Linked DNA regions of Alligator mississippiensis. Each later gene encodes a partner of the first gene's protein in a complex. Links are inferred from orthologs where the notes say so. Each region holds a gene or a part of one and is shown in the gene's direction. Other genes may lie near its edges. The genes, in order: SRRM2, CWC27, RBMX2 and SNRNP200.

Region 1 (7,957 bases):
TTTGAGCCACTTGGGGTAAAAATGGGGAATTCGGACAATTATTTTTAGACTGGAACACTTTGGGGGCAAAAACAGGGAAAAGCAGCCAATGTGGTTCCAATTTGAGTAATTTTAGGGTGAAATGGGGAAAAAGGGGCGAATTTGTGTTGAATTAGATCAACTGTGGGGCAAAAGAGAAGCAATTTGGTCATTTTCAGATCATCTTCGGTCATAAAGGTGGGAAGTATTTGAATTGGGCCCAAAATGGCCAAACTCCTGATTTTCTTCATTTTACCCCAAATAGTTCAAATTGGATCCACATCCAGCCCCAGTTGGGGCCAAAATATGGAAAGAATTGGCCAATTTTCATCCATTTCTGAGCTATTTGTGGGCAAAAAGGAAGAAATCGGCCAGTTTGGGTCCAGATTAAGCCATTTTGGGGCAATGGGAAAAACTGGCCAGTTTGGGGGCCAAAAGGTGGGAAATTAGCTAATCTCGATCCAGTCTAAAGAATTTGGAGTAAAAAATGGGGACATTGGCTAAAATGGCTCGAATTCCAACCCTTTCCCCTTTTAGGCCTTGAACTAGACTGAAACAGGCCAGTTTTGACCCAAAATTGTTCTAATTTGACACACATGGGCCAATCTCCCCCATTTTGGCCCCAAGAATGCCTCAAAAATGAACCTAGAACTGGCCAATTCTGGTTCACTTCTGAGCATTTTGGGGGCCAAAATAGAGAAAATGGGTCAATTTGGGTCTAATTCAACCCATATTGGGGGCAAATGGAGAGATCTGGCCTCTTGCAGTCTCTCTTGAGCTTTCTGGAGGCAAAAAGTGCAAAATAGACTCTTTTGGGTCTATTTTTAGCCATCTAGGGAAAAAAACCAAAGAAATTGGCCAATTTGGGGCCAATTCGAGCAGGTTTGGGGGCAAAAATGGGCCATTTGGGAGCAAAAGTGAGGGATTTGGCCCATCTGAATCCATCATGAGCCATTTTGGGGCCAAAAGAATGAGGAAATTAGCCCCTTTCCCTGGTTTTCCTTCCCCAGGTTTTGCTTGCTTCCCCACTCTGGTCCCAGCCAATCATTAACAAGACCTCATTAACCCGGTTACAAACTCCTGCAAGAGCGTTTCAGGCTGGACGTAAGGAAGAATTTCTTCCCTGTCCAAGCCCCGCGGTCTGGGGCAGCCTGCCATCGGGGGTGGTGCAAGCACCGGCTCTGAACGCCTTCAAGAGAAATGTGCATGCTTATCTCGCCGGGATCCCGTGACCCCAGCGGAGTTCCTGGCCCCGGGGCGGGGGCGGGACTCCATGATCCTCCGGGCTCCCTCCCCACCCGAATGTCTATGAAATCTATGAAACCCGTGACCCCAGGTGACCTGCACACATATATCTGTACTCGCATACACACGCACCCATAGGTATCCATGTGTGTCTGCACACATGTTCACACATGTACCTATAGGAACCCCCTGTTCTCGTATGTACGCACATACTCACGTTTCTGTGTGCATTTGCACACATGCATATCTGTACTCACATGTTCCTATGTGTACACACATACCCATAGGTACCCATGTGTGCCTGTACTCATGTACATGCATACTTGTGTTTCAACGTGCACCTGCACACATGTATATCTGTATTTATGTGTTCCCACATGTACACACATACCCTGAGGTACCCATGTGTCTGTAAACATGTTTGCACACATATCCATAGGACCCCATTTGCACCTATACGCATATGTACACACGTACTCATGTTTCCATGTGCCCCTGCACACATGTACATGTGTACTTAAGTGCGCACACATACCAATAGGTATCCATGTGTGCCTGTACACGTGTTTGCACATGTACCCATATAACCCTATAGGCTGGGGAACACCCTTCTTGTCAACGTGGTGACAGAAGGGGATCTTGGAGTCATTGTTGACTCTAGGATGAACATGAGCCAGCAATGCGAGGAAGCTAACCGCACCTACAGATGCAGCTCAAGCAGGTCCAGGGAGGTGATCCTCCCACTCTATGCGACGCTGGTCAGGCCGCAGTTGGAGTACTGCGAGGCGCCGCACTTTGGGAGGGATGTGGCTAACCTTGAGAGGGTCCAGAGGAGGCCACCCGCACGGTCAGGGGACAGCAGGGCAGGCCCTACAAGGAGAGGCGACGGGACCTGAACCTCTTCAGCCTCCGCAAGAGAAGGCTGAGAGGGGATCTGGTGGCCATCTACAAACTCACCAGCGGGAATTGGGGGAGGCTCTGTTCCCCCAGCTCCTCCCGGGGTTACTAGGACTAACGGGCACAAGTTAGAGAGCAGGTTCAGGCTGGACATCAGGAGACATGACTTTACGGTGAGGGCTGCCAGGCTCTGGACTGGGCTCCCAAGGGAGGCGGTGCTCTCCCCTGCCTCGGGGGTCTTCCAGAGGAGGCTGGACAGATATTTGGATGGGGTGATATGACCCTGGCACCCGTTCCTGCCCGGGGCAGGGGGTCAGACCTGATGATCCGTTTAGGTCCCTCCCGACCCTAAGCACTATACTATGACCCCATGCGCACCTATACTCATATGTATACATGTACTCATATTTCTGTGTGCACCTGCACACATGTATATTTGTGTTTATGAGTTCTCATGTGTATGCCATAGGCACCCATGGGTGTCTGTACATGTGTTTGCACACGTGCCTGTAGAAAGTCACATGTGCCTGTACTCATAGAATCAGAGACCGTGTGGGCTGGAAGGGAGCTCAGGAGGTCACATCTAGTGCAACCCCTGCTCCAAGCGGGACCAGCCCCAACTCCATCATCCCAGCCAAGGCTTCATCCACCCTTGAAGGTCTTCAACACCGCCAAGGACGGAGATCCCATAATCCCTCTTGGCAGCCCATTCCAGCACTTTCCCACCTTCCTTGTCAGAGAGTTTTTCCTAATATCCAACCTCAACTTGCTTTGCTGCAGCCTGAGCCCATTGCTCCTTGTCCTGTCATCTGGCACTACAGGTCACGTGTACAAGCGCCTACTGAGAACAGTCCAGCTCCATCCCCTTTGCAACCACCCTGCAGGCCGCTATTCAGTTCCACCCCCCCCCTCGGTCTTCTCTTCTGCAGCCTCAATGCACCCATTTCCCTCAGCATCTCCTCACACATCATGTCCCCCAGCTCCCCAATGATTTTTGCTGGACTCTCCCTAGTGCTTTCTGCAGTGGGGCCCACAGCTGGACCCAGCACTCCAGATGTGGCCTCCCCAGTGCTGAATAGAGGGGGAGAATCTCTGACCTCCACCTCCTGGCAATAATTAGCCCTGCTCGTTAGCAACCAGGATACCCTATTGGCTTCTATCCAGCTTCTTGCCCCTGTGTCCCAGCACACGGGATTGTCCTGTCCTAAGTCCAAAAATACAGTTGCTAACAGACATATTTGGAGTATACGTAGCACAGAGAGTGACAGGTTAATAACGAGGCATTAATTACCTGCTCTTAATTGTCAGCTGTGTTGTGGCTGTGCTAATGTATATCATTATTAAATGGTATATATACAGCATGTGCATGAGTTACATGTGAGCTGTTTTATGTGTCACAGGCTCTTCACTCGCGTGGGGTCAGATACCCACTTCCAAGTCTCCGTTCCATGTTCTCTGGATGCTCGGTATGACAGGTAACACTCGTGCTATTGTGTGTTGTGACGTGACATGGGTATTACACGTGTCATATATGGCACATGCTATTGTGTGTTATTGCGTCATGGGTATTGCATGCATGCATGTCATGTATGTCACACTATTGTGTTTCATTACATGGCATGGGTATTGCATGTCATATCCAGCACACACTATTGTGTGTGTCATGGGTAGTACATGTATGCATGTCATACAGCACATGTGCTGTTCCATGATATGTCATAGGTATTGCATGCATGTGTGTCATATACAGTGCATACTATTGTGTTCTTACATGTCATGGGTGTTACAGGGCTGTCATATACAGTACATGCTACTGTGTGTTATGTCATAGGTATCACATGCATGTGCGTGTCCTATAGGGTACCTGTGCTATTGTGTGTTATTACGTGTCATGGGTGTTATATGTATGCACGTTGTACAGTATATATACATATGTATATGAATGCACGTGTTGTACAGCACACGGGCTATTCTGTGTTATGTCATAGGTATTGCATACATGTGTGGCATATCTAGATCACGTGCCATTGTGTATTATTACATCACAGGTATTAAATGTGTGTCATATATGGCATGTGCTATCGTGTGTTATTACATCAGGCATTACATGTATGCGTGTATACTATAGGATGCACATACTATTTTCTGTTCTGGCTCATGGGTACTACATGCATGTGGCACATACAGCATATGCTATGGCGGGTTATTACGTCATAAATTTTACATGAAAGTTTAACATGTGTACAAGTCACCAATGGTATACATACTATTGTATGTTATTACAACACAGGTATGGCATGCAGGTGTGTGTTAGACATGTCATGGGCGTGAGATGCATACACGTGCTATGACGTACTTTGCTGTCGTAGCTAGGCCATACTCGCGCGTGCACACGCTACCCGCTCCCCCCGGTCCCTACCCCTACGTGTCCGTGCACGCACACGTGCACACGCAGCTCGACACGTGCGCAGGCCGCGGCCGCCTGCGCAGGCGCACACGGGTCGGACTACATTTCCCAGCGTCCCTTCCCCCGCCAAGATGGCGACCGCTTAGTCCCTCCCACTCATGCGCACAGGACGGGGGCCGACTCCCCAGTGAGGGGACGCGGGGAGCCAGGCCCGGTGCGCATGTGCGCAGCGCTAATCGCCCCCCGCCAGCCTCTGAGGCGCGTGCGCTCCAGGCAGGAGGAGGCCGAAGCGCATGCGCACCGTGGCCTCCCCGACCGGCGCCATTTTGGACTCCGTTGCCCGGCCTGCCCCGCGCGGGGCTTTTCCGGCCCCGCCCCGCGCCGCCCGCGGTCCGCCATCTTCCCGGCCTGCCCCGCGCCGGCCCCAGGCTCCAGCCTCTAGGCCCAGCGTCGCGGAGCGGAGCGGCCTGGTCCGGCCCGGGCCCGGTGAGGGGGGAGGGGGCGTCTGGGAATGAGGGGGGGCTCCTGCGTGGGGGGGAGGAGGGAGGGGGCGTGGAGGGGTGTTGTAGGGGAGAGAGGTCGTGGGGGGCGCGGGGCCGTGGGAAAGGGGTAGTGGGGGCGGTGTTTTGGGCTGGGGGAGGGGCCGTGGAGGTGTTTTGGGGTGGGGGCGGGGTCGTGAGGGGTGTTTTGGGCTGGGGGAGGGGCCGAGGGGGAATCTTTTAGGGGGGAGGGAACGGGGCGGGTGTTTGGGGGCGGGGTCGTGGGGGAATCTTTTAGGGGGGGGCCCGGGGGGTGTTTTGGGGGAGAAGGGTCACGGGGGGGGTGTTCTGTGGGGGAGGGGCTGTGGGGGGCAGGGGCGTGAGCTGAGAGAGGGGGAGTCCTGGGAGGCAAGGGGGAGACATAATGGGGGGAGGGGCTGAGGCCAGCCCCACCCTGGGGAGGAGGTTTGAGGCATGGGGCATTGGAGGGGGCTGGGGGGGTAGGCGGGCAGGTGCTCTGGGAAGGGGGTGGGGCTCCTGGACGTGCCTGGGTTCTTACCCCCCGCCCCCCCGCAGGTCTGGCCGCCCCCCTCCCCCCGGCGGCGCCATGTACAATGGCATAGGGCTGCCCACGCCCCGGGGCAGCGGCACCAACGGCTACGTCCAGCGCAACCTGTCGGCCGTGCGGCACCGGCGGGAGCGGGCTGAGGACGAGGGCGCCCGGGCCGAGCCCGCCTTGCTGAAGCGGCCCAACCAGGACATCCTGGACCATGAGCGCAAGCGCAAGGTGGAGCTGAAGTGCCTCGAGCTGGCTGAGCTCATGGAGGAGCAGGGGTGAGGCTGCTGCCGGGCAGGGCTTGGGTAGGGGCAGTTGGGAAGGTTGTGGGGAGGTCTTTGGGGTAATTATGGGGGTAGGGCTTTGGGCATGGGGTAGCTGGGAAGATTGGGGGGGAGGCCTAGGGGGAGGTGTGGGGGCTGTGGGCAGAGCCAAAGGTGGGCAGCTGGGAAGGTTCGGGGGGGGGGTGTCATGGGGGTGGGGCTTGGGCATGGAGCCAGAGGTATGGGGTAGCTGGGAAGGCTGTAGGGAGGTGTTTGGGGTCTGTGTGGGTGCAGGGCTTGGGGGCAGAGCCAGAGGCACGGGGTGGGGGGTTACTGAGGATTTTGGAGTATGTGTGGGGGTAGGGCCAGGGGTGGGAGATAGGTGGCAGGTTTATAGAGAGGTTGCTGAGGCCTTTGTGGCAGGATGGGGGGGGGCAGAGTCAAGGCATGGGGTAGCTAGGAAAGTTATGTGGAGGTCTCAGGCTGCTGAAGTGGGGTTGGGGGTGGAGCCTGGGAGTAGGGGTGGAGCCAGGGCCTTGGTCAGCTAGGAAGCGCATAGGGACCTTTCTGGGGCATTTGGAACAGGGCTAGGGGCGGGGCTTGGGGGCAGAGCCAGGGGCACTGCGTAAGTGGGCAAGCCATAGTAAGTTCCTGAGACTTCTGGGGCAGGGTTGGCGTGGAGCCGGGGTGGGGGCGGAGCCAGGGTACGGGGTAGCAGAGATGCTTGTAGGGGTGTCTGGGGCTGTTGAGGCTGTTAGGGGTCGAGTTTGCAGGTCAAGGGGCAGAGCCAGGGCACAGGGCAGGTGGGAGTCACAGGAACATATACAGAGGCAATGAAGTAGGTTTGGAGGTGGGGCTTAGGCTTGGGGGTGGAGTCATGGGGGGGTTGGCAAGGCCCCGTTCCCCACTGAAGCCCCGTCCCCAGGTACACGGAGGGGGAGATCCAGGAGAAGGTGGCCACCTTCCGCCTCATGTTGCTGGAGAAGGACATTGGGGGCAAGGACATCGACACCCCTGAGGGGCGCCCCACGTGAGTGACCCCTGATCTCTCACCCCCCATGGCAGTGCCCCTCACTCCTTATCCACAGCACCACCCCCACCACCAGCAATGCCCCTCACTCCTGACCTGCAGCTCCCCCCAGTGGTGCCCCTCCCTCCCAACCAACAGCAACCCCCTTCACCCCTCCACAGCAGTGCCCCTCACTCCTGACCTGCAGCCCCCTCCAGTGGTGCCCCTCGCCCCGACTCCTGACCCACAGCCCCCCTGGCGAGCAGTGCTCCTTGCTTCCAATCATCCCATGGCACTGGAGGGGTTTAAAGCAGGTTGGGGGAATCTGGGAGCCTGGACACCTGGGTCCTCTGGGCTGGGGGACGACAGTAATGGGTGCTGGGTACCTGGATCCAACACCCCCGCCCCCCCTCCTGCAGGGTGACGGAGACCCACCAGCTAGCCGAGGCAACGGAGCGTAAGAACGAGCGACTCCGCGCCGCCTTCGGCATCAGCGACTCCTACGTGGACGGCAGCTCCTTTGACCCCCAGCGCCGGGCACGCCCTGCTCCCCGTCCGCCTGACCCCGTCCCGCCCCACAGGTACCTGGGGATGTGCTGCACACCTGGGTTCTCTTTGGGATGGGGGGTTTTGGTGGGGGGGCCTGGAAACTTAGATTGTATGTGTTTGCATTTGCACCGGACACCTGGGTTCTTTGTTGGGACGGGGTTGGGGGTTGTGCCTTTGTGTGACCCAGATGCCTGGGTTCTCTGGGTGCGTGTCCCAGATGCCTGGGTTGCATGTTTGACTCTCTCTCTCTCCCCCCCCCCCCGCCCCAGCCTGGTGCGAGAGTCCAGCAGCTCCCGGTCTCCGTCCCCCAAGCAAAAGAAGAAGAAAAAGAAGAAAGACAGAGGGAGGTGGGTACCTGGACACCCGGGTTCTCTGGGGTGGGAGAGTAGGGGTCTGGATCCTTGGGTTTTCATCATGCCCTCCCCCTGTTGCTGCTAGGTCAGAGAGCCGGTCACCCTCACGCCGAGAGAGGAAGAAAAGCTCCAAGAAGAAGAAACACCGGTGAGAGCCTCTTGGGGTGGTGGCAGGGTTTGG
Region 2 (7,390 bases), on another chromosome or scaffold:
AGTTATAGCCATAGGTGCTGAGAATGTACAGGCCTGAGGGCCCTGGCTACCCTCAGGAAGAGGGCTGTCGGGGCCCAAACCTGAAGATTACATAATGCTTCTCCTTTAAAGGAGAAAAACATGAGAACAGGGTTTATCTTTGTAGGGTGCAAGGAGCTGCTTGGGGCAGGGGGGGGCAGGGAGGGCTATAGGTGGAAGGGGGTGACACAAGCACATGATAGCTAAGCAGTGGTGAAGAGCAGCTTCCTCCAGGTAAGTCTATGGGGGCGAGTGATGAGGGGGCACAGGTGACATGTTGGGAAGGGTGGAGGCGCACAGGCGATGCAGTACAGAGGGGCAAGGGGACCAGAGTGATGTGGCAGGGAAGAGGGGGAGCACAGGCAATGTGGAGGAGAGGGGCAGGGGAGCACAGGCAATGCATCAGGGGAGCGAGGGAACACAGGCAATGTGGTAGAGAGGAGTCGGGGGATGGGGAAGGTGACACAGCGGGGGGCATGTGACTCCCAAGATTTCTGCACCCACAGCAGGACATGGGGCACAGGGCTGCAGCCAGGGTGGACCAGCTCCAGGTAGGAGCTGCCTCTGTGGCCCAGCAGGCAGGACCCAGCGCAGGACAGAGCACCATGGCCACCAAGGTGAGGTGTGGAAGTGGCATGGAATTGTGCTCCTGCTGCTGCTGGAGCCAGAGGGTGTCTTACCTTGGAGGCCAGGGCAGTGTGGTGCTCCCTCCTGTACTGGGTCCTGCCCACTGAGCCCCTGAAGCGGATCCTGCCCAAGGCTGGTCTGGCCAGGCTGCAGCCCCATACCCTGCTTTGCGCACAGGAATCTGGTGGGAGGCACATGGTCCCTCCCACCCCCTCACACATTACCTGTGCCCACAACCCCCCTTTCCCACATACCTGCCCCATTCCTCACATACTGGGGGCTGGCACACATCCATCATCTTGGCCACCCCCTACCCTAGGCAAAAATGAAAGTTGGCGCCTATGGTTACAGTGTTCTTAAACTTGACAGAAGTGCATGGTTTGGAGAGGAAGCGGGGAAAGGTCTCTGAATCTCACTGCACTTTCCAGGTTATGGGGGCAGGGGGCACTCTGTAGCCTCCTCAGTCTTCTCTACTGGTCAAAAATTTGACCAGTATACAGAATTTTTTTAAAACACTGTAAAGCTAAAATGCTGTAAAATACAGTGCTTCAAATGTAATAACTCATTTAACAAGGGGTAATTTAAAGTGATGTATCCATTTTTAAAGTACTGTAAATCCATACACTTCTATTAAGTCATGGCCAGGCATCCTGGTTTTCTGTTTAAAAGCTGCAGACTCTCTGATCAAAAAAAACCCCAAATCCATGTTTTTCCGTGGTTAAAATTAAACACCACTCACACTCTCTCTCTATATATATATATAGGTGAGAGAGAGAGAGAGAGAGAGAGAATCAGTTGAACACAATGTTTTACATTTACAATGTAAAAGCAATTTGGAAGCCTACCAGTGCCTCAATCACTATAATAAATAAATTCTAAATACCTATAAATTTTGGCACTTGATTTTGGGTTTTTTTATCATGGAAAAATCAGAGCTCCCCCTGCCTCCTTTGCTCACCAGGATGCAAGTCCAGCTGTGGCTGTTCCCCACACTGCTTTGAGGCGTGGAGCTGCACTGACATGCCAGTGTCCTGCCCATGCCATTGCCCCTCCCTCCCAAGCCACAGTCGCACCAACCCTGCCGGTGTCACTCACTCCCAACCTACAGCCCCCTGCCTGCACCCAGTCCTGCCAGAGGGGGTCCCCGGCTGCTAGGGCTACAGGGACAGGAACCCGGATCTGCAGTTACCTTCCCTCCCCCAGCAGCACCCAAGCCCCAGCTGCCACCTGTGGAGCACAGCTGGAGTGGAGCCTGTGGTGGGGGCAGATGCAGGATGCCTGCTGTAGGCTTGGGGCTCTCTGCCCTGCTGCCCTTCCCCCACGGTCCAGCAGGTGGGACCCCACACAGCAAGGCAGAGTGGGGTGGGGAGGCTTGGTGTCACAGCTGGGAGCCTCGCATTGCCATGATGAGGTGCCTCCTGTCCCAGCCCCCCAGATGCAGCACCAAGCCTCCCTGCCCTACTCTGCCGCGCCAGGTCCCACCTGCTGAGACGCAGAGGCCACAGGGGAAGGGCAGCAAGAAGCCCACATCCACTTCTGCCCTGCGCACAAATCTGGAGGACATGTGGGCAGCAGTGGAAAGCCAGGCCCCTTGCTGCCCGCCAAATGAACCGCCTGCAGCTCCATCCCACTCTCTGCCCAAACTCTGTGCCCACACATTTCGGTCCCAGGCCCCATCCTAGCTGGGCAGCAACTCCAGCCCCACTCCTTCCTCCCTCACTAGGGGAGCCTCAATCCCTCCCTCCTTCCACCCAGGCTTATCCCCCTGTCATGGCAATAAAGCGCTTTAAGTGGTGAAAAAAAATAACTTTTATACACACCCCTTGGTTCCATTCCAGCAGGTAGCCCATGCATAGAGCTTTATAATTGTCCTGCTGCTTTGAGCTAACACACCTTGTCCACTAGCTCACACAGACATATAACCCAGTCTTCTGGGATTCAAACCCTGCAAACAATTCAATTCAGGGTGCTGTCATGTTAGATATGGCCACTAGAAAAAGGAATATATAAGGCCAGCAAAGCCCAAACCAATTATAAAAGGCTGCTGAAAGTTTAAATTTTCTGTATGAGTTTTTACTGAACTCGGGATTACTCTGCATCGTGATTGTGGCCAATACTTCCACTCAGCAGCAATTTCACTGATGGCAGAACGAGCTTGATTTGTTATGAAGCAATAAACTCCTCTTCCTTGTTGTGGTGGAGAGGCTTGCGTGCCCTGATGATCCTGAGAATGATGCTGTCTGGACAGCCTTTTTGGTAGGGTATCCTATGGCATTAAGGTCAAAGGTGAGGTTTCAGACAAATAGCGACCCAACCCCAATAACTAGGGCAGGTGGAACTCTTTACCCCTGGTCTGGGAACCTACCTAGGAGAAGGATACTCCAAAACTAAACCTACAGCCTGGAGATCTCTCTACAGCTGTCCTAGTTCACCAGGCACATGAGTTTCAGGCCTAAAGAGCGGGGCCAGTCAGTACAAACTGTACTCCACTTTAAAGCTCCACACACAGGCAGGAAGAAAACAAGTCGCCCAATAAACTAGCATGGAAACATTTTTAAAACCACAGCATATCCCTTACAAAGCCCTGCTTGGCAATTAAAACTTCTTTCCTTGACGGGTGGGGTATTCTGTAGATCTGGGAAAATTTGCTTTCTGAAAGTGACTTACAGTTCACTTTGTGAATGTTTTTGATGCTGTTGCCTGACTGCTTAACTGAGCTGAAACATCACCAGAAAATAATCTAGAGTGCATACTACGCCCGTTGGTCATCTAGTCCAACCCCTGCCTGACAGGCAGGATCCTCCCTACCCAAACCATCCTGTACAAACCCACATCTAAACTGTGCATGCACAAGCCTGAGCTCAACCCTGACACACCACGGCCCTCACACCCTCACCTACCCCAGGCAGAGCAGGGGACGCAGCAACCCATGTCTGGCTGCTGTACAAGGGGGTCAGCGTACGCTCAGGAGACCCTGGGAGAGGGCCAGGCCGGGCAGAGGAAGGCAATGCCCCACTTCGGGTTGCCAACTTTGTTTGAATCTATTCCAGGAGGTTTCCTCACGTGATGTAGTGACATTAATGATCAGTCTACTGTACTGCACTCAGGAAGGCAAATGCATATTACTATTACATTAAAAAAAAAAAAACCCCATGGGCCTAAACTGGATGCAACATTTAATGTTTATTTTAAAGAACGCCCTATTACTTGTCTCCCGGGTGACTCTCAGCAGTCTCCTGGAGATTGTATCCAATTCCTGGAGGCTCCCGGGCGATCCTGGAGGGTTGGCAACCCTACGCCCCACAGGTGGGGACAACTCCCCGCACCCTGCGCGGAGGGGGAGTCCCCGCATCCAGGAGCCTGGGCTGCGACCTGGCCCCGGTTGCGGGCAGGGCGCTCCCAGCCCGGCCGGGGGACTAGGACACGGGGAAGGGGCCGCCACCCGCTGCCCACAAACAAGGTGCCCACCTGGCAGCGCCATCCTCCTCCTCCGCCTGCTCGGGCCGCGTTGTTCCGGGCCGGGGCTGAGCGCGACGCGCCGTGGGCCGCACCACTCGCCCAGGCGGGGGGGGGGGAAAGGGAGGCGCGGGGGCGGCCCGAGGGGAGCAGCTGCGAGGCCTAGGAGTGCGAGATGGGGGTAGCGCGCCGCCCTACCCAGGCGGCCTGCGACCCCATCACAACCGCATTATCCCCCGCGCCCCCCGCCCCCCGCAGCTGAGTGGTACGGCCCAACATGGCGGGCGACGCGCGGAGCTAGGCGGGCCCGTGGGGGAAGGGGCGCGGCGCGGCCGGATCGCGGCGGGGGCAGCATGAGTAACATCTACATCCAGGAGCCGCCTACGCACGGCAAGGTGCGGCCGGGGCCGGGGCCGGGGCCGGGGCCGGGGGCGAAGAGCAGCGGGGAATGGCCGTGTCGTTCTTCTCGAGGGCGGCTGCGCCACTCTGGGGAAACGAGGAGCCGGGGCCGGATCCGTCCCGTGGGCGCTGTCGTCCGGGATACCCGGTCCCTGCTTCCACATCCCCGTGCGGGCCCAGTCCTGCGGTGTGCTGGGCCGGGGCCGGGGCACAGGGCTGGTCCCAGGCTGGGGTGAGGCCTGGGCCCGGCTACTCCGCGTGGGACCGACGGGGTGGGCGGCTCTGTTTGAAGCTGAGGTTTCATCACGTGATGCAGTGCATTAATGACTGCTCTGCTGTACCGCGCTCAGGAAGGCAAATGTACCATTGCATTTTAAAAACTCACTGGACTACTGTATACATTAGATTCACCATTTAATATTTATTTTAATGAATGCTGTATTATTTATCTCCCAGGTGACTCTTAGCAGTCTCCTGGAGATGTATATCTGACTCCTGGAGACTGCAGGGCAATCCCGGAGGGTTGGCCACTCTAGGGTCCGAACGTGGGAGGCCAGAAGGTGGGTGCCTTGCACGGAGATGGGCAGTGGCTAGCACAGGATATGCAGTCACATGAGATGCTGCGAACCATCTGTCAGGTCATCAGCCCTGGGGCATGCATACCCCTAGGGGTACTTAGAGAGGTCATAGAGGATACTCACGGGCAGGCAAGGACGGAGCGCGCCCCAGGGCACAGCAGGGGCATCCCCTCCAGCGCGCTCCCACATGTTCCCTCTTACCTGAGGGACCGGGTGGCCCCACGCACACTGCAGCACCTCACCCCAGCGCAGTCTCCTGATTGGCTGCTACCCTCAGCCAATAGCTGATGGCAGGAAAGTGCTGCGGACACCTCCTGCCTGCAGAGCTGCAAGGCACAAAGGGCCTGAATGGCGGGGGTGTGGGGAAGTGTGTTTCTGTGCCTGCTCCCAGGGGCAGGGCTGGGGCGGGAGGGCGAGGGCAGCAGCGCCTCTGATGATGGATGTGCGCAGGGCTGTCCTTTGGGTAGGGCAAATCAGGGGCGACCGCCCCAGGCCTCATGCTTGGGGGGGGCCCCGCAGAGCTGGGCAGAATGGCCACAGCCCCTCCCATGGGGCCCGCCTGGAGCTGGCAGCTCAGCCCCACGCCGCAGAAGAAGTATCTAGCTGCTTGCCACCCCGCTATCCTCCCGCAGCACGTCACCAGCTTTGCATCTGCTGAAGAGCGGCTTGTCGGGGCACATGAGATCTGCTTGGCCCCTGGGCACCAAATTTCATTGCCTTTGTGGGGGTCCCATGACCCCATGCCATGTTAAAGGGGCCCCACACAGGCTGATTTGCCCTGGGCCCTGCATCCCCTAGGGTTGGCTCGATGTGGGGCGGGGGCACTTGCATGCGGTGGCCACCACCCCATGCCGCCACCTCCCAGGAGCAGGTCCAGAGAGGGCAAGGGCAGCAGTGCACATCTGCGGGCCGCACAGGTGCAGCCTGGCTGGCCGGACGCAGGGGATGGGGGAGCTCACACACCACTGCCACCCACCACCACACGCCACTGCTATGCGCAGCTTTTCTATGGATGTGTGGCTCCATGGGGTGCTGACAGGCGGTGCACGATTGGCCGGGCGCAAGGCCTATCAGCAGCCCTCAGAGCCACATGTCCGACTGGCTGTGGGAGAGCGGGGCACAGTGGCAACACGGGGTGGTGGGTAGTGGCAGCAGCCTCCACATGCGAGCCCAGCCCTCCCCCGCCCCATTTCTAGCCGCTGCCACCAGAAGGGGTGCACTAGTTAAAAAAGTTTGAAAAAAACCTCAGATCTATGTCATAGGCTGCAATATCTACCATCTGTCATAGACGGAAAGATGCCAAAAGAAAAGAAGTAGAGGATGTTGATAAAAAGCATGGATTTGCAACATTTTGCCATTACAAGCTTCTGCTGGCAACCCAGCTCTCTGCTGTGACCCACAAATCTGTGTTTGCTGGTGATCAGCAGGTGCTACGGAGGGAATATGGAACAGGGCAGGGGTTACAAGCCTGTGGATGCCTCCACTGCTGCCGTAGCACAAGTGTAATGTCAGTGCCCTGAGCCATAGGTTGCCAACCCCTTGTATAATGAGATAAAATGATGCACACAAGTGTCACATGCCAAGTCACCAATGATAAATTCTTATCACATGCTTTAATTCAGAGCTATATCTTGTGTATCAGCACCACTTTGAGGGGAGAAAAGTCGACAGCCAGTATGTTATGGCTGCTGTTGCTGCTGCAAATCCAAACCGATCTTCCACTTCTGCCTCTGCATTTCTCAGATTGGAGAAGGAAAATATTTTTTCATTCAAACTATGGTGTGATTTGATCAGAGACTTCATCTGCAAATGTTCAGTTGCAGTATATTTTGCATGTTAAAAATACATGTACTTGTTCTGAGGTCCTGTTTAGAGTCTTGGATTTAAGGTAAAAGAGGAAAACAGCAAGGAGGATGGTCCTGGTGGGTATCTACAATAGCTAAGGTATATGTCCTGTTTTGGCCAGGACAGTCCCCAATTTCATGGGCTGTCCCTGCCAGTTGCCTAAAATAGAAGCAGAAGTCTAGGATTAGAGGCAGCACCCTGCCTACACATACCTGGTGCTGTTCCTCCTGAGCAGTTTCTGGAGGCTGCAGGGGTGCGCTGAGCATGGTATCTGACCTGACCCTCCTGCCTAGTGTGGGGATGGGCTGAGGTGAGGCGGGGGCTCAGGAACAGCACCAGGGAAGGGGGCTGGGGCTCAGGAACATGTATAAGGTAAACCGGCATGGCCACCAGCAGCCTCATGTTCTGCTGCTGCCAAGGTCTGGGCTTCATGTGGCGGCCCCAGGTGGCTGACAGTGGCTGGGGGA
Region 3 (6,840 bases), on another chromosome or scaffold:
TGTGCTGGCCCAGGGCATGGATCTACCCACAACATGTACAACCTGCCATCTGGTCCAGGTGAAATCTGCCCTACCTCCTGATACCCTTGCCTTTGTCAATCAGGTCCCAAGTGGCTCCCCACTCCACCACCTGAGCTGGAGGACACCAAATTGGTCCGCTTTTCCACTGTCCACCTCTATACTCTTGGGCACCACACTGTCCATCATGCTGCCCTCACACCAAGTGGTGGGACCTGCTCGGCGAGGGCGTGGCTGGGGTGTCTGTACTCCACCCTCATCCCACGAGCCACCGAGGACCCCAGCTGGCAGCTCCTCCATGGAGCTGTTGCCACAGGCGTGTATGTAGTGAGCTTCACAGACACCCATCTCCTGCCTCTTCTGCAGGCAGAGGGAGACCCTGGTGCACATGACCCTTGAATGCGCAAGGCTGCAGCCCCTCCACCTCCAGAACCTCCTCTTGAGGTTCTGGTTAAATTTCACCCCCCACCTTTTTGTTTTTGGTCACTCCATCTGTGGCCTCACCAAGTCCTGGGATCTCCTGGGCAACCTCCTCCTGACCCTGGCCAAGTGGGCCCTGTTTTTGACCAGGAAGGAAGCTCTGGCTGGCAAGGTGCCTGGAGATTGCAGGGCTGCTTTTCTGTCACTTGTCTGTGCATGTTTCCAGGCAGAGCACCAGTGGGCAGCGTCCAGCGGCTCCTTGGATGCCTTTGAAGACCAGTGAGCGTGGCCTGGGGGGCTCTGCTCAGTGTTCTCCTCCGGAGAACTTTTCACATTTTAAACCTATGACCCCCCCACGTCACTCCTACCCTTTTCTTCCTTGGTTGTCCCACCAAAAAAAAAAAAAAAAAATCAGTTGCATCTTTCAAACTTAGCCCCCACTACTGTGTGGGGCCAATTAGTTAACTAGATGGGCCCTAAGGCCCATGATCTCTGGAAGATACAAATAGACGGGAGCATCTGAGACCCAGCCAGTTGGTATCTGGGGACACTAGCCCCTTGTGCCACCTGGACTGATGAAGCAGCCCTAACCTAGAGTGGCCCCTGCACTCTCTCTACCCACTGCAGCAGTCAGGCAATGGGGACTGAGACCTGCTGCCACTTGTGACAGCATTCTGCCCCATGGCTGCATGCCTGCCAGACCAAGAGGGGGACTGCATGGCCACCTGGTCTGTGGTATGGGCACCGCAGCAGAGCCTCCTGCGCTTCTGGGCCAGCTGCCAGTGGGCTGTCTGAGCAGTGCCACCTGCAGGCCAACTGTGATCATGTCTTCTGGTGTTCCTGCTCTATCACCTGGGCAGCTATCACCCAGATGTACTCCTTGCAGTGGCCCACTTTGAACTGTCAAAGCATGCACTCCTGGCTCCAAATGACCAGGTCACCCACCTCGTCTGCCCTCCAGCTGTGTCCCTGGTGCTGACCCTGGGCAGGCTCCTCTGCCTGGGTCTCGCCACTTGTCTTACCTGCAGAAATCCTGTTCCCAGTTTAAAAATGGCAAATTCTCTGATTAAACCCCCCCAAATTCTCTCATTAAAATACCCAAATTCTGTGTTCTTCACAACTGAAATGAAATGCTAATATGTATAGAGAGATTAGTTGAGCAATATTTTATTGATATATTTACAATTATAAAGCAATTTGGAAGCCTACCAGTGCCGCTATCATTATAATTGAAATTCTAAATATCTATAAACTTTGGCATTTGCTTTTGGGTTTTTTTAATGTAGAAAAATCAGAGCTGCCTCTGCCCCCTGCATTCACCAAGATGTGGGGCACTGAGCAGCACTGATATGCCAGTGCCCTGACCCTGCCCTTGCCCCTCGCTCTTAATCCACAGCCCCCTACCCCACAGTCCCATCACTTCCTTGATCTGCAGTCCCTGCTTGCCCCCACTAGCTTCCCCATGCCATTCCTGGGAATCCCTCAACTGGGGCTCGGGGACTGGGCTAGTCAAGGCCCTTCCCTTCCAGGCTGGCCTCCCCCTGCACAGGGTGATCTAGGAGGGCAGGGGGGTGCTAAGCCTAGCTCTGGTGGCCTCTCCTACCCAGAGTGCTCCCTCACCCCTGACCCCCATATATATCTCTCTCATATACACCCATGCTGCCACCTCCACCCCTTCCCCCACAGCCCATCACACCTCCTAAGTAGTTACTGGGGCCACATGTCCTATCACTGGTGTGGGCACGAGGCAAGGCTGCAGTGTGGTAGTTGCCCCTGCAGCCATGGCTCCTGCCAGTGGATTCTGTCCCATCCTCTGTGGCCGGCTGGGTGTACAGGGTGTGAGATTTGTTGGGGGGGGGGGGGGGAAGGGGTTGTGGATGGATATGGGGCTTGTGTAGGAGTTTGGGGTATGTGGGTGAGGAGTTTGTGGGGAGACTTTGTGGGGGTGGGAGGCACTGCTTGGGAGGGGTGAGTCCCCTGCCCACTTACTGCAGGGTGCACAGTCCCAACCTGCAGCAGCCATCGGGCACTCAGGCCCAGCCCAGTGCTGTGCACCTTTGGGCAGCACCAGGCTGCTCTGGCTGTCACCTGGGGTCCTGGCACTGCATGCAGGGGCCGTACATTGTGCTGGGCTGGGCCGGGCCCTGCCTCCAAGTACCCCGTGCCCTGTCAGGCTGGGTTGGCTCCATGGAGACGGGACCTGGCCCAGCCCCTGTATGCAGTGCTGGGACCCCAGGTGAAAGACAGAGTGGCTTGATGCTGCCCGAAGGCACGTGCAGCACAGGCAGCGCTGGGTCTGAAGGGGCCAGGGCTGTGCTGCACCCGAGGGCTCTGCTAGCAGCAGGCCCTGAGCACTCAATGGCTGTGTGCCCTGTGGGAACAGGCCCACATAGTTACCTCCCCCACCACCAATCTCCCCACACCTTCCCCATCCCACCCCACATCACTACTTACCTAGGATGGCATCTGGGTCATACTGCAGCCTTGCCCTGCTCCTATTTGCCCCACCATGCTGAAGGGAAGGGGGCAGCCATAGAGACACTCTGGCTAGATGTCAGAGCCTGCTCCTGTTCCCCCCCCCCCTTTTTTTTTTTTTTTTTTTTGATCCCTGGATTCCAGGAATCACATTTAGGGCCTGTGCTGAAAAGATGCAGTATGGGGAACATTTTTTGATCCCAGCATTCCTCTCGCAGCATCTCACACTGCCTTGAGGCGCCTCAACAGGCACGTATGTGCTCACCTGGACATGACCCTAGACAGCAGTGGGCAATTATTTCAGGCAGTTTTGGTTTACTGAGTTTTGGCAAGCCATCAAGGGCCACATGACAGGTAGCCGGGGCAGATAAATATTAATTTTCTACATTTTTTTAGGGTCCCCGCGGGCCGGATAGAATGGTCTGGCGGGCTGCATTTTGCCCACCCCTGCCTCAGAGTCTTGTATGAAGCACTGGCTCGGGGTCTGAGAAACAGACTATGGCTTGTCAGTCTCCTCCCAAGAGGCAAGCACGGGCTCAGAAGCACAGCTTCAACCCGCCCTTCCCCTCCCGCTCGCCCCGTGTCTTTGAGGCCGTGGCGTGTGGCGCTGTCAGCGCAAAACCGAGCCCCTCACGACTCTTCCGCTGCTTCTGCCCTCGGGGCCTGGCGCCCCGCCTCGGCCCGGCCGGCCGGCGCCGGGCGCTGCGCTCCAGCGCGGCGGCTTCTCTCCGCCCGGCGCAGATGCTGCCCGGTCCGGCGCGGCGGGAACGGCCCCGCCTCGGCAGTCTCTAACCCCGGCCGCCTGGGCCGCGGCTCAGCCCCGCTGCGGGGTGGCCAGGGCGTGTTTTGCAGCCATCGTCTGGCCACAGCGGCGCCAGCGCCCGAGACGCGAGACCGTCCCGCGGGGCCGCCCGCGCTGCGCGAGAGCTCGGGCCAGGCAGCCCTCGCGGGAGGGAGCCCAAGGCGTGAGCAGTGCAGCGCATGTGCACGCACGTCGGCGCAGACGCAGTGACCAGCAGCAATCGACATGAAGTAAGTAATGGCTGCGGCGGCGGCGCTGGGGTGGTTGCCGGGCGGGGTAGCGGTAGGGGCCGGGGCCGGGGCCGGGCGCCGCAGGGTTCCGTGGTGAGGGCGGGCGCGGCGGGATGCGGGGCCCTGACATGGAGCCGCTCACCCTGCCGCAGCGCCCTGACCAAGGTGAAGCTGATCAACGAGCTGAACGAGCGGGAGGCGGCGCTGGGCGTGCGCGAGGCGGTGTCGTGGCATGCGGAATACAAGGACAGCGCCTGGGTCTTCGTCGGTACGAACGTGCGTGATGCGAGCGGGGGGCCGGGCCGGGCCGGGCGGCCGAGGGCTGCTTCCGGGAAGAGGGGACTGCCCGAGGTTCCCAGTGCCTGCGGGCCGCTCCCGGTGTCCATCCCCCTCGGGCTCCACCTGGCGCTGTTGCTCACCTGCGGCCTCCGCCCTTCAGAGGGGAGCAGTCTCCTGGCTTCTGCACAGCAGAGTCGACCTCAGTGCACCAGGCTCTGGGTATACAAGTCCCTTAAGCAGCTACAGCCCCAGCACCCTAACTAGCTTGTCTGTCTCCCCAATCGTAATTCATCCAGTCCTCATATTTCCTCCCTCACCAGTGTCCCCTCCCGCTGTTCTTTTCCATTTCTTTTCAGTATAAACTTTTTCTGCCAACCCATTCCTAGCATCTGACAAAGCAGGTGGTTGCCTGTGAAAATTTGTGCCTCTCTGAACCAATTAGCACAGGGAGCAGAAAGCGGAGCAGCTATTTGCCTCTGTGTTGCCTTTCCCCTCCCTGATCTATCTGTTGCCACGTACACAAGGTTCCCATGCTATTGTTTCTGGGGTGTAGATTGTAGCTGTGTTATTCTAAGGACATGGGCAGACAGAGCTGTTCCTAGTGGTGTGTGAGGCCCAGAGCATATCAGCCTGGGCGGGTGGGGGGCTGGTGAGCAGCTGGAGGCGGTGGCAGCAGAGCCAGGGGTGCTCAGCTGCATGGCGGCCGCGGAGGGGCCTGTGCGGCACTGACTCCAGGGCCCCCCAAAGCGTGGGCTCTGGGGCGGTCACCCTGATTTGACCCCGCCCCTAAGGACGACGCTGTTGGCAGACAAGGTTCTTTGGGTAAAGGTAAATCCAATATCTTTTATTACACCAACTCACATAGCTGGAAAAATTCTTCTTAGCAAGCTTTCCGGCACAAACCCCTTCACCAGGCTGAGGAAGCATCTGCAGATGGTTTGTGCTCTTCCTGGATGGAGTGGTAAAGCAGCCAGAGGTCAGTATTTATCTCAGAAAACCAGTGAGTTAAAATATAAATTGAGTTGGTCAGCAGGTGAGACAAATGGGGCGGAGGGGAAGGGGGAATGAATTCCGAACCTATACAGAAAATTCTCAAACAATTGCAACCCATACTAGAAGGAGACCTAATTCTCAAAAAGATCTCATAACCACCCATCCTATCCTTTAAACAAGCACCAAACCTTGCCATCCTCATCACCAGAAGCAAGCTTCCTATGACCCTGTTGCCTTGTGGGGTCAGGCCAACTCTCAGGATCTCAATATTGCGCTGTTAGACAGGAGGGTGTGACACAATTGCACATGTACAAACACACAAATCAATTAGGTGTGTACATACACGCACACTACCAGCTCAGGCACATACACATCCAAACCAGCCTAGGCACATGCATACCTATCACCAAGTACATATACTATACACCCCAAAAGTTAGACACAGATCACTAATTTGTATATCATGCACACAATGACATATATACACACACACACACTCGCCAGTTCATACACATACAACCCACCTACACATACAGGTAAGTTCCTAATTTGGATGGTACAGTGTATATGTGTGTGCTTGGGGTACCTGGGATACTTGGGGGAAGGTTCAGGTGAGAGAGAGAGAGAGAATTAAAGTGTAGGGAGTGAAAGTTGCCAGAACCAGGATTATAACCAGTGGACTATAGAGAAGCTGGCTGAGGAACTGAGGCTTGGGTTTACTTAAGGTAGACTGGGGCTGGAAACTGAGGCAGACACCTGAGATATTGTGGGGGGGGGGAGATAAGTGGTGGCAAGGAGGAGACAGCCAGGAAAGAAACTGAGGCAGAAACCTGGTTGCTCAGGGGAAAAGGAAAAGACAGTGGAGATAAGACAGTGGCAAAGAAACAGGGGGTTTGGAGGCAGAGAGGAGCTCAGGACAGGTGTTGGAGGTGGCAGTGAGCCAGAAGCAGGAGAGGGAGAAATGAGAGAAGTTAGAGGGGTGAGGAGCAGAGATTGGAGCAGGGCCAAACCACAGTAAAGCAAAACCCAACTCAGGGGTCCAAATAACAGGTTTATTAAACAGACAACACACTACACAGCCCCATGAAGTTATTGGTTCACACACAAGAAACTCAGTGGAAGGTTTGGAGTCCAGGTGGGGAAGAAAAGCAGGGTCCAAGTCCTTGGTTGAAGAGAGGGTGGGCATGATAGCTACCTATCCAGGCTGGAAAGGGGTCTTTGTCCAGTAGGTGTTGTCCAGAGGGGGGTTGCCGGCAGGGTGAGTGGCATGGTGCTGGTTCAAATGGAGAGGGCGTCCCAAGGAGTCAGTCTTCACTGCCCCTTTTTATGGGGCAGACTACTTCTGATCTCCTGTGGGAGGGCCTGTCCAGGCAATGCCAGTCCTGTTCCAGAGGGCTCCAGGTGTTCTTACTGAGCATGTGCAGCCTGGCACAATGGTGGGTTGCCTCATCTTTTGTTTCTTGAATGCTGAGGGTGGTTCCAAGGGCTGGGTCCTTGGTCCAGGTATTGGTGTTGATGGTTCAGTCATTCAGGGGGAGCTATTTTTAGACCCACTGCCATTGTTTCTCAAGCACCCTCATTCATCCCCATTCATTCAGGAACCAAGTTACATAGGTGGGGTAG
Region 4 (6,953 bases), about 9.6 Mb from region 1:
CCACTGCATCCATGGGCAAACTGGGGGGAGGAGAGTAGATTAGCTATGGGTACTAGTCCTCCTCCCTCCTGCCTGCCATGTAACCTTACTGCTTAGGTTAGCTGGTAATGCATTACTGGTAAACACACTTCTCATTTAAATGTTTAACCTTTCACATCCTGAGTTCCAACTCTAGCTAGAGATATGAACTTGGGCCTTGGAGTCACCGTCAGCCAAGCTCCAAAAGGCCAGATTTTGGTTCATGAATCTGAAAAAGACATACTTTTAATTGTAATGACTCCAGGGATAACGAGGCAACATCTCTGGATTATGTTTTGGCCAAGTCTGCTGTGGCTTTTATATGAAACAACAAAGGAATGCATATTTTACTCAAGTCACCTTTGGTTTTGCTTTGATTGTAAACTGAATCACATTGTGCCAAGCCCTGGGTACATTAGCAAAGCTTCTAGCTTTCTTGTTATCAGGTGGAAAACAGCTGTTGTGTTTTATGTGTTGACAAGGCATCGCACCACTTGCACCCCCTTTTCAAAACTCTGCATCTGCCCAGGGTGGACCATCAAGACCATTCATAGTTTCATTGCTGGTAGGGTCAGAAAGGACCTGAGCAGATCATCCAGTCCAACCCCCTGCCATGGGCAGGAAAAAGTACTGGGGTCAAACGATCCTAGCAAGGTGTTCGTCTAACCTTCTCTTAAAGACCCCCAGGGTAGGAGCCAGCACCACTTTGATTGGAAGTTGGTTCCAGGTCCAAGCCTCCATGACTGTAAAGTAGCGCCTCCTGATGTCTAGTCTGAATCTACACTCTGCCAGCTTGTGACCAGTATTTCTAGTCACTCCTGGGAGTGCTTGGGGGACCAGAGACTCCCCCAATACCTGCTGGTCCCCTCTGACTAGTTTGTAAATGGCCACTAGATCCCCCCTCAGCCTTCTCTTGTGGAGGCTGAACAGGTTCAGGTCCCTCAGCCTCTTCTCGTAGGGCCTGCCCTGCTGCCCCCTGATCATACGGGTGGCCCTCCTCTGGACCCTCTCCATATTGTCCACATCCCTTCTGAAGTGCGGCGCCCAGAACTGGATGCAGTACTCCAACTGCGGCCTGACCAGTGCCACATAGAGGGGGAGGATCACCTCCTTGAACCTGCTTGAGATGCATGTGTGGATGCATGGCAAGGTGTGGTTGGCCTTCCTGACCGTGTCTCCACACTGTCGGCCCATGTTCATTTTGGAATCAATAACGACTCCAAGATCTTTTTCTGCCTCTGCACTGACAAGAAGGGAGTTCCCCAGCCTGTAGGTATGCTGCTGGTTCTCCCTCCCCAGGTGCAGCACCCTGCACTTGTCAAGTGTTGAAACCCATCCTGTTCTCATCCGCCCACCCCTGTAACCTGTCTAGGTCCAATTGCAGCCTATTCCTCCCTACTAGCGTGCCCACATCCCCCCACACTTTAGCATCATCAGCAAATTTGAACAGGGTGCTTTTCACCCGCTCGTCCAAGTCACTGATGAAGATGTTGAACAGCACGGGTCTGAGGACCAAGCCCTGGGGGACCCCACTGCCCACATCCCTCCAGGTCAAAAATGACCCGTCTACCACCACTCTCTGGGTGTGACCCTCCAGCCAGTTAGTGACCCATTTGACTGTGTAGGTGTCGACACCACAGTCCTTTGGTTTTTTAATGACAATGGGGTGAGAGACGGTGTCAAAGGCCTTCCTAAATTCCAGAAAGACTACATCCACCGCAACACCTGCATCTAAGGATTTTGTGACCTGGTCATATAAGGCCACCAGGTTGGTCTGACAGGACCTGCCTCTAATGAACCCGTGTTGGTTGCCCCTAAACCTAATCTCCCCTGCTGGCCCCTAGTGGGCATGCACCAGGATAACTCTCTCAAAAAGCTTACCCAGGATCGAGGTAAGACTAACTGGCCTATAGTTTCCTGGGTCCTCCTTCCCCCTTTTTTTGAAAATGGGAACCACATTGGCCCTTTTCCAGTCCTCTGGCATCACACCAGAGCACCACGAGTGCTCGTAAAGCCGTGCCAGGGGTCCTGCAATGACCTCTGCTAATTCCCTCAGCGCTCTGGGGTGGAGGTCGTCAGGACCTGCTGATTTATACAAATCCAGCCCCTCCAGAAGTTCCCTGACTAGATCCTCTCTGACCCTAGGCCTGGGTGCACCTCCCCCCGAGGCCTGAGGGGGTCCTGGCAGATGGGCTGACTTGGTCCCTACTCAGGAAAATGGAGGCAAAGAAATCGTTAAATAGGTTAGCCTTGTCGTCTGGTGTGATGACCAGATTTCCTAGCGTGTCTTGCAGAGGCCCCATGTCACCCAGTACCTTCTTTTTGCCCCCTATGTATTTAAAAAAGGACTTCTTGTTGTCCTTGATCCGGGTCGCTAGTCCCAGCTCCATCTCCGCTTTGGCCTTCCTGACCGCCCCCCTGCAGCCCCGAGAAACCGAGGTATAGTCCTCCCTGGTGACGGCCCCTCCCTTCCATTGGGTGTACACTTTCTTTCTAGCTACGAGACGTTCCCAGATGCTTTTGGCGAGCCATGGGGGAGAAACAGTCACGTGGGTGGAGCAGAGAGATCAGGACGAATCAGGGCGATAATAAGGAGCCAGGAAATCAGTCAACTCCCTCAGCGCCACCTGGAGAGTAATGCCGCTGCCAGGACACAGGGTTAAAGCAGGAGTGCTCAGCTCCCGGCCCACAGGCTGGATGCCGCCAACGGACGCCAGCAGGACCCAATATTTGAGGGGGGGGGGGCGGCAGTGGCAACCACTTGTTCCTTCTCTGCTGTCAAAAAAGGGTTGGGAGAGAAAGGAAGGGGAGAGCATGGCATTGTGCACTGGACTGAGCACCTGGGCCCTGATGCTAGCGCCCCAATCCCAGCAATGTGGGGGCCTAATCCCGGCGCACGGACCAGGCCCGATCCTAGCACGTGGACTGGCCCCGATCCTGGCGGCACGGGGGCCCCAGTGGCTCAGTCCGCGGACAAGGGCGCGGCGTCAGGGTCGATGCTGGCGCCATGGGGACCCGCACCCACCTCCGCAGCTCCTCCTCCTGGATCCGCCGCTCCTCCCACACGAAAACGCCAGCCAGCGCGGCCAGCAGGCGGCGGGCGCCGTGTCCGGGGCGGCCCTGACCGCGGCGCCACAGCCCGGGCGTTAGGTCGCGTCGGGCCCTGGCCCTCGAGGCGGCGGGCGGGCCCGGGCTGGGCCGCAGGCGGCGGGGGGCCCAAACGGCCAGGAAGCGGCGGGGCAGCAGCTGCAGCGCGGCCACGGCTGGGCCCCAGTAGCGCGCCCACATCCCTCCGATGCGCAGCGTACGGCCCCTCCGCGCGCCGGCCCCGCTCTTGCTCCTGCGGCGCCGGGCAGGCCGCGCCCCCAATCCCAGGCCCGCCCCCGCTGGGAGACCATTGGAAAGCGGCTGGGAGCAACCCTCCGGGTCCCGCCCCTGCCGGGCTCTGATTGGATTGCGTCTACTTGTGCTGTCCCCGCCGGGAGGTCAGTTGAGCGACTCGCCGGTGATAGGCTGCACCTCTACCACTTCTGCGGGTCCCGTTCCCGCTGGGCGCTGATTGGAAGGTGACTGGCTGCTGGCTAAACTGCGCCGCCAATAGTCCTCCGAGCCCTGTCCCCGCCGGACGCTGATTGGAGCGCAGTGCCGCCGTCGTAGCTGTCAACAGGCTAGGCTGCGCGCGGTCGCCTAAGAGCGCCTTACAGGCAGGAAAGACCGCGGTCTTCGCTCCACCCCCCGAGGGGTGCCCTGCGTAGTGCCTGCCGCTACACAACACCCCTGAGAGCCGGGTCCCCTTTGCCTACGCTGAAAGCAAACAAACTACACCGGGGTCCTTCCGCTGCCCACCGCCCGAGGCTACATCCAGGTCTCAGCCCTGCAGAGGAGGGAGGGAGTGCTTCCGGGACACGCGGAAACACACCGGAAGTCCTTCCCCGGAAGTGCTTGGTGGCGCGGTGGTGCGTATTGCTAGGCCGCGGGCTTGTGAGGCGGCGGCGCCTGAGGAGCTGCCATGGCGGACGTGACCGCACGGAGCCTGCAGTACGAGTACAAAGCGGTGAGTCCCGTGGGGTGCTGGAGGCCGTTGCCAGGATCGGGGCCGGTCGCGCCAGGCCTCGTGCTGCCGGGATCGGGGCTCGTCCAGGGGCTGGGGCACGGGGCGGGGCGGGCTGTGTGTTTCCACCCGTTGCTCTGAGGCCTCCGTCGCACGGTGCCGACATCATGCAGCTTGGGGAAAACTGCCCCTGCCGTCCTCCTCTCACCCGAGTCGCAGAGCAGCGGGGCTGACGGGAACCTCAGTCCGTCCAGAAGGTGTGGTCCAGCCCCGCCTGCGGCAGGCACCGCCTGTTCAAACCACCCCAGACAGATTCGTCTTCTAAACTCAACCTAAGGCCAACACCGGCCCTGAAACAACCCAGACCTAACACCTCACCCTGCCACAGAGGAAACAGGAACCAGAGCAGCCAAGGTCCTGCTGCTGTAACCCTTAACATTGTTAATATTCCCCCCAGTGCCCCACCTGCTCCAGAGGAAGGCAGCCCCTGCGCCCCTCCCCAACCAGTCCTTACCAGTCTGACAGGGGAGGGGGGGAATTCCTTCCTAACCTCACTGCAGCGCCATCAGTCTGACTCTGAGTGAAGGGTCAAGACCTGGGTTTGAGTCCCAGCAGCGTTGGCATAGCCCAGTCACCATCCCCAGCCTGGGCTGCAGCCAACTTCTCTGAGGGAATCTTAAAGCCCCCCTGATTTCTGTAGCAGAAAGTGAGGGGCATCCAGCACAGCCTAGGAAATCCTCGTAGGAGAGCACAGGCATCACTATGCCAAGATCATCCTCGCCCTGTGGCTATATGAATTCTCCTTCAACTCCTCCAGCAATGGGGAGCCCGCACCTCCCCTAAGCACAGGCATCGCTACACCTAGATCATCCCCAACCAGTGACTGTCCTCCCTCTCCTGAAACTCCTCCAGTGATGGAGAGTCCACAGCTCCCCTGGGCAGTCTGCAAACAATCCACCTTTGGAGCAGATGACAGATACAGGGGTGACTGTGGAGGGAAATTTGGAGTGCGGGAGAGATTCACTGCTCACTGAACTAATGCACTGTGTTGCAGCTCCCTCACTTTCTGGTGCAAGTGTGTTTGAGTAGCTGTGGCACCTGCTGCACATTAGATAGTGCAGAGGTCTCTTGCTCTCAAGCTACTTGTGCTGAAGTCAAATAGGGAGGGAACAGCTTCTCTGAGGCTAAACTCCTACGCTGCAACTGTAACTCCAAGCAAAGCTTTTCCATTAATGCCCTTCAGGTATTAGAAGGGGTCCTCCAGGAAGGTAAGAGCCAGGGTGGATTGATTTAAATCAAAGCAATTTAAATCACCAAGAGAAAACTCTATCAAGTTTCCCAGTGATACTTCTTCACATATTTCTTAAACAATGGGACAAATTTGATCACTAAAACATGTCAATTTACAAATCAGTACAGCATTTTACAACATCTGTCCTTAAACTCTCTCTCTTAATTTTCACATTTTATTAACTCTAACAGACAAGTCATCACAACACTAAATGTATGCTGTCCTTAAAACTTCTACAGCTAGGTCTCATCTTCCCCACTCCCACTGCCATTTTTATTCATAGACTGAAACCGAAATACAAGTGTTCCTGCTTTTTCAACTCCCAGTTGACTTCTTAGCTTCTTTGAGTGAATAATACCAAACAATGAAAATATCCTCTCTATGCCTGCGGAGGAAACTACTGCTGTGAAAAGTTGGCTTAGCAACTGAAGGAACTCTATCTCAAGGTGCCTGGCTAATGATTTCCACCAATTCAGGGGAGTGACTTTGTTCAAAACATCATCAGTAAACCATGTACTATTTAAATGGTTCCCCCCCAGCCCTGAAATTTATTATGACTGGCATAACTGAGGAGTGATTTTGAGATGCCCATGCCAAGGCAGCAGCATCTTCAAAAGTTAGGCATCTACCTTTATATCTGGGGTTGAGAATGTTGGCAAGAACATGAGGTGGAGTTGGTGCTTGATCCATTTGCTTCTTTACTGCCTTCAGTTTAACTTTCTGGTTAGGTATTTCTTTTTTTAATGTCTCTTGAAGTGCCTTCCAAATTTCAACAGCATCAGCAATGCAGCAACAACCTCTCTGAAGTTTGTTTAAGGCTATGGATGTAGGCTTCAGTATATTGAGCATATCCTCTACATTCCTCCTTAATCCAATGTAAACAGATCAGTTCTTAATACATTGTTCAACACAATGAACCACAGAATTCCATTGAACATCTTGAGAGAGAGTGAGTTTGGATCCTCCTGCTCTCTTCAGTGAAGCTGAAGCCAAATGCTTGGTACAGAAGTACTTTATGACTTCAACAACATTTTCTTTTATTTCTGAAGAAGTACTTAAGTCTTTGGCTAAAAGATGCATTAAATGGACACTGTAGCCGTATGTTATTAAGGAGCATCCTTCCGTTTCTTCTTCTAAGTATCTTCTCATTTTTGCCAACTTTGCAGCATTATCACTGACAACTGTGCATGTGACAGTTGAATTTTTGTTCACAGTTTATTACAGCTTTCACTGCCACTTCTTTTAAATGTTCTGCTGTGTGGGCATTTCCCAATGTATCTATTGTTTCTGAAACATATGCAGCCTGTTGAGGGATCACCACATAAGGACGTGGCCTTTGACATCCTGATGACATTCACCTGTCTGTGGTTGTCAGGAATGCCTTGACTAGCTAGTCAGACTCTAGTCTCCACCTAATTCTCGCCTGCCATGACTTGATGGAATGTTCTTTTGGGAGGTGATGTTGTTTTCACGAGTTTGATTATAGTGCAAGGTGCCCTCCAAGTGGGGCTCCAACCTCCCCTTTCACCCCAGCCGTACACCTACCAGTTCTTACCATGGTATCGGGTATAATCCAGAATATGTGCATGTGGT

The links.
Region 2: SRRM2 (region 1) and CWC27 share a complex: the UniProt entries of both Homo sapiens proteins name them as parts of the minor spliceosome. The link is inferred for Alligator mississippiensis from reciprocal best matches to the Homo sapiens genes SRRM2 and CWC27.
Region 3: SRRM2 (region 1) and RBMX2 share a complex: the UniProt entries of both Homo sapiens proteins name them as parts of the minor spliceosome. The link is inferred for Alligator mississippiensis from reciprocal best matches to the Homo sapiens genes SRRM2 and RBMX2.
Region 4: SRRM2 (region 1) and SNRNP200 share a complex: the UniProt entries of both Homo sapiens proteins name them as parts of the minor spliceosome. The link is inferred for Alligator mississippiensis from reciprocal best matches to the Homo sapiens genes SRRM2 and SNRNP200.

What each region holds. Positions count from the first base shown.
Region 1 is NC_081830.1:700,624-708,580, reverse strand, and holds the start of SRRM2 (serine/arginine repetitive matrix protein 2), read left to right. Parts: upstream 1-4,950; 5' UTR 4,951-5,053; intron 5,054-5,622; 5' UTR 5,623-5,653; coding exon 5,654-5,880; intron 5,881-6,790; coding exon 6,791-6,895; intron 6,896-7,293; coding exon 7,294-7,455; intron 7,456-7,692; coding exon 7,693-7,770; intron 7,771-7,861; coding exon 7,862-7,924; intron 7,925-7,957. UniProt on the Homo sapiens protein: Required for pre-mRNA splicing as component of the spliceosome. As a component of the minor spliceosome, involved in the splicing of U12-type introns in pre-mRNAs.
Region 2 is NC_081826.1:261,519,789-261,527,178, reverse strand, and holds the start of CWC27 (spliceosome-associated protein CWC27 homolog), read left to right. Parts: upstream 1-4,372; 5' UTR 4,373-4,454; coding exon 4,455-4,496; intron 4,497-7,390. Other genes in the region: protein SREK1IP1, read right to left, coding at 4,114-4,126. UniProt on the Homo sapiens protein: As part of the spliceosome, plays a role in pre-mRNA splicing. Probable inactive PPIase with no peptidyl-prolyl cis-trans isomerase activity. As a component of the minor spliceosome, involved in the splicing of U12-type introns in pre-mRNAs.
Region 3 is NC_081831.1:40,216,223-40,223,062, forward strand, and holds the start of RBMX2 (RNA-binding motif protein, X-linked 2), read left to right. Parts: upstream 1-3,832; 5' UTR 3,833-3,894; coding exon 3,895-3,945; intron 3,946-4,097; coding exon 4,098-4,221; intron 4,222-6,840. UniProt on the Homo sapiens protein: Involved in pre-mRNA splicing as component of the activated spliceosome. As a component of the minor spliceosome, involved in the splicing of U12-type introns in pre-mRNAs.
Region 4 is NC_081830.1:10,327,542-10,334,494, forward strand, and holds the start of SNRNP200 (U5 small nuclear ribonucleoprotein 200 kDa helicase), read left to right. Parts: upstream 1-3,936; 5' UTR 3,937-4,027; coding exon 4,028-4,072; intron 4,073-6,953. Other genes in the region: STARD7 (stAR-related lipid transfer protein 7, mitochondrial), read right to left, coding at 3,044-3,306. UniProt on the Homo sapiens protein: Catalyzes the ATP-dependent unwinding of U4/U6 RNA duplices, an essential step in the assembly of a catalytically active spliceosome. Plays a role in pre-mRNA splicing as a core component of precatalytic, catalytic and postcatalytic spliceosomal complexes.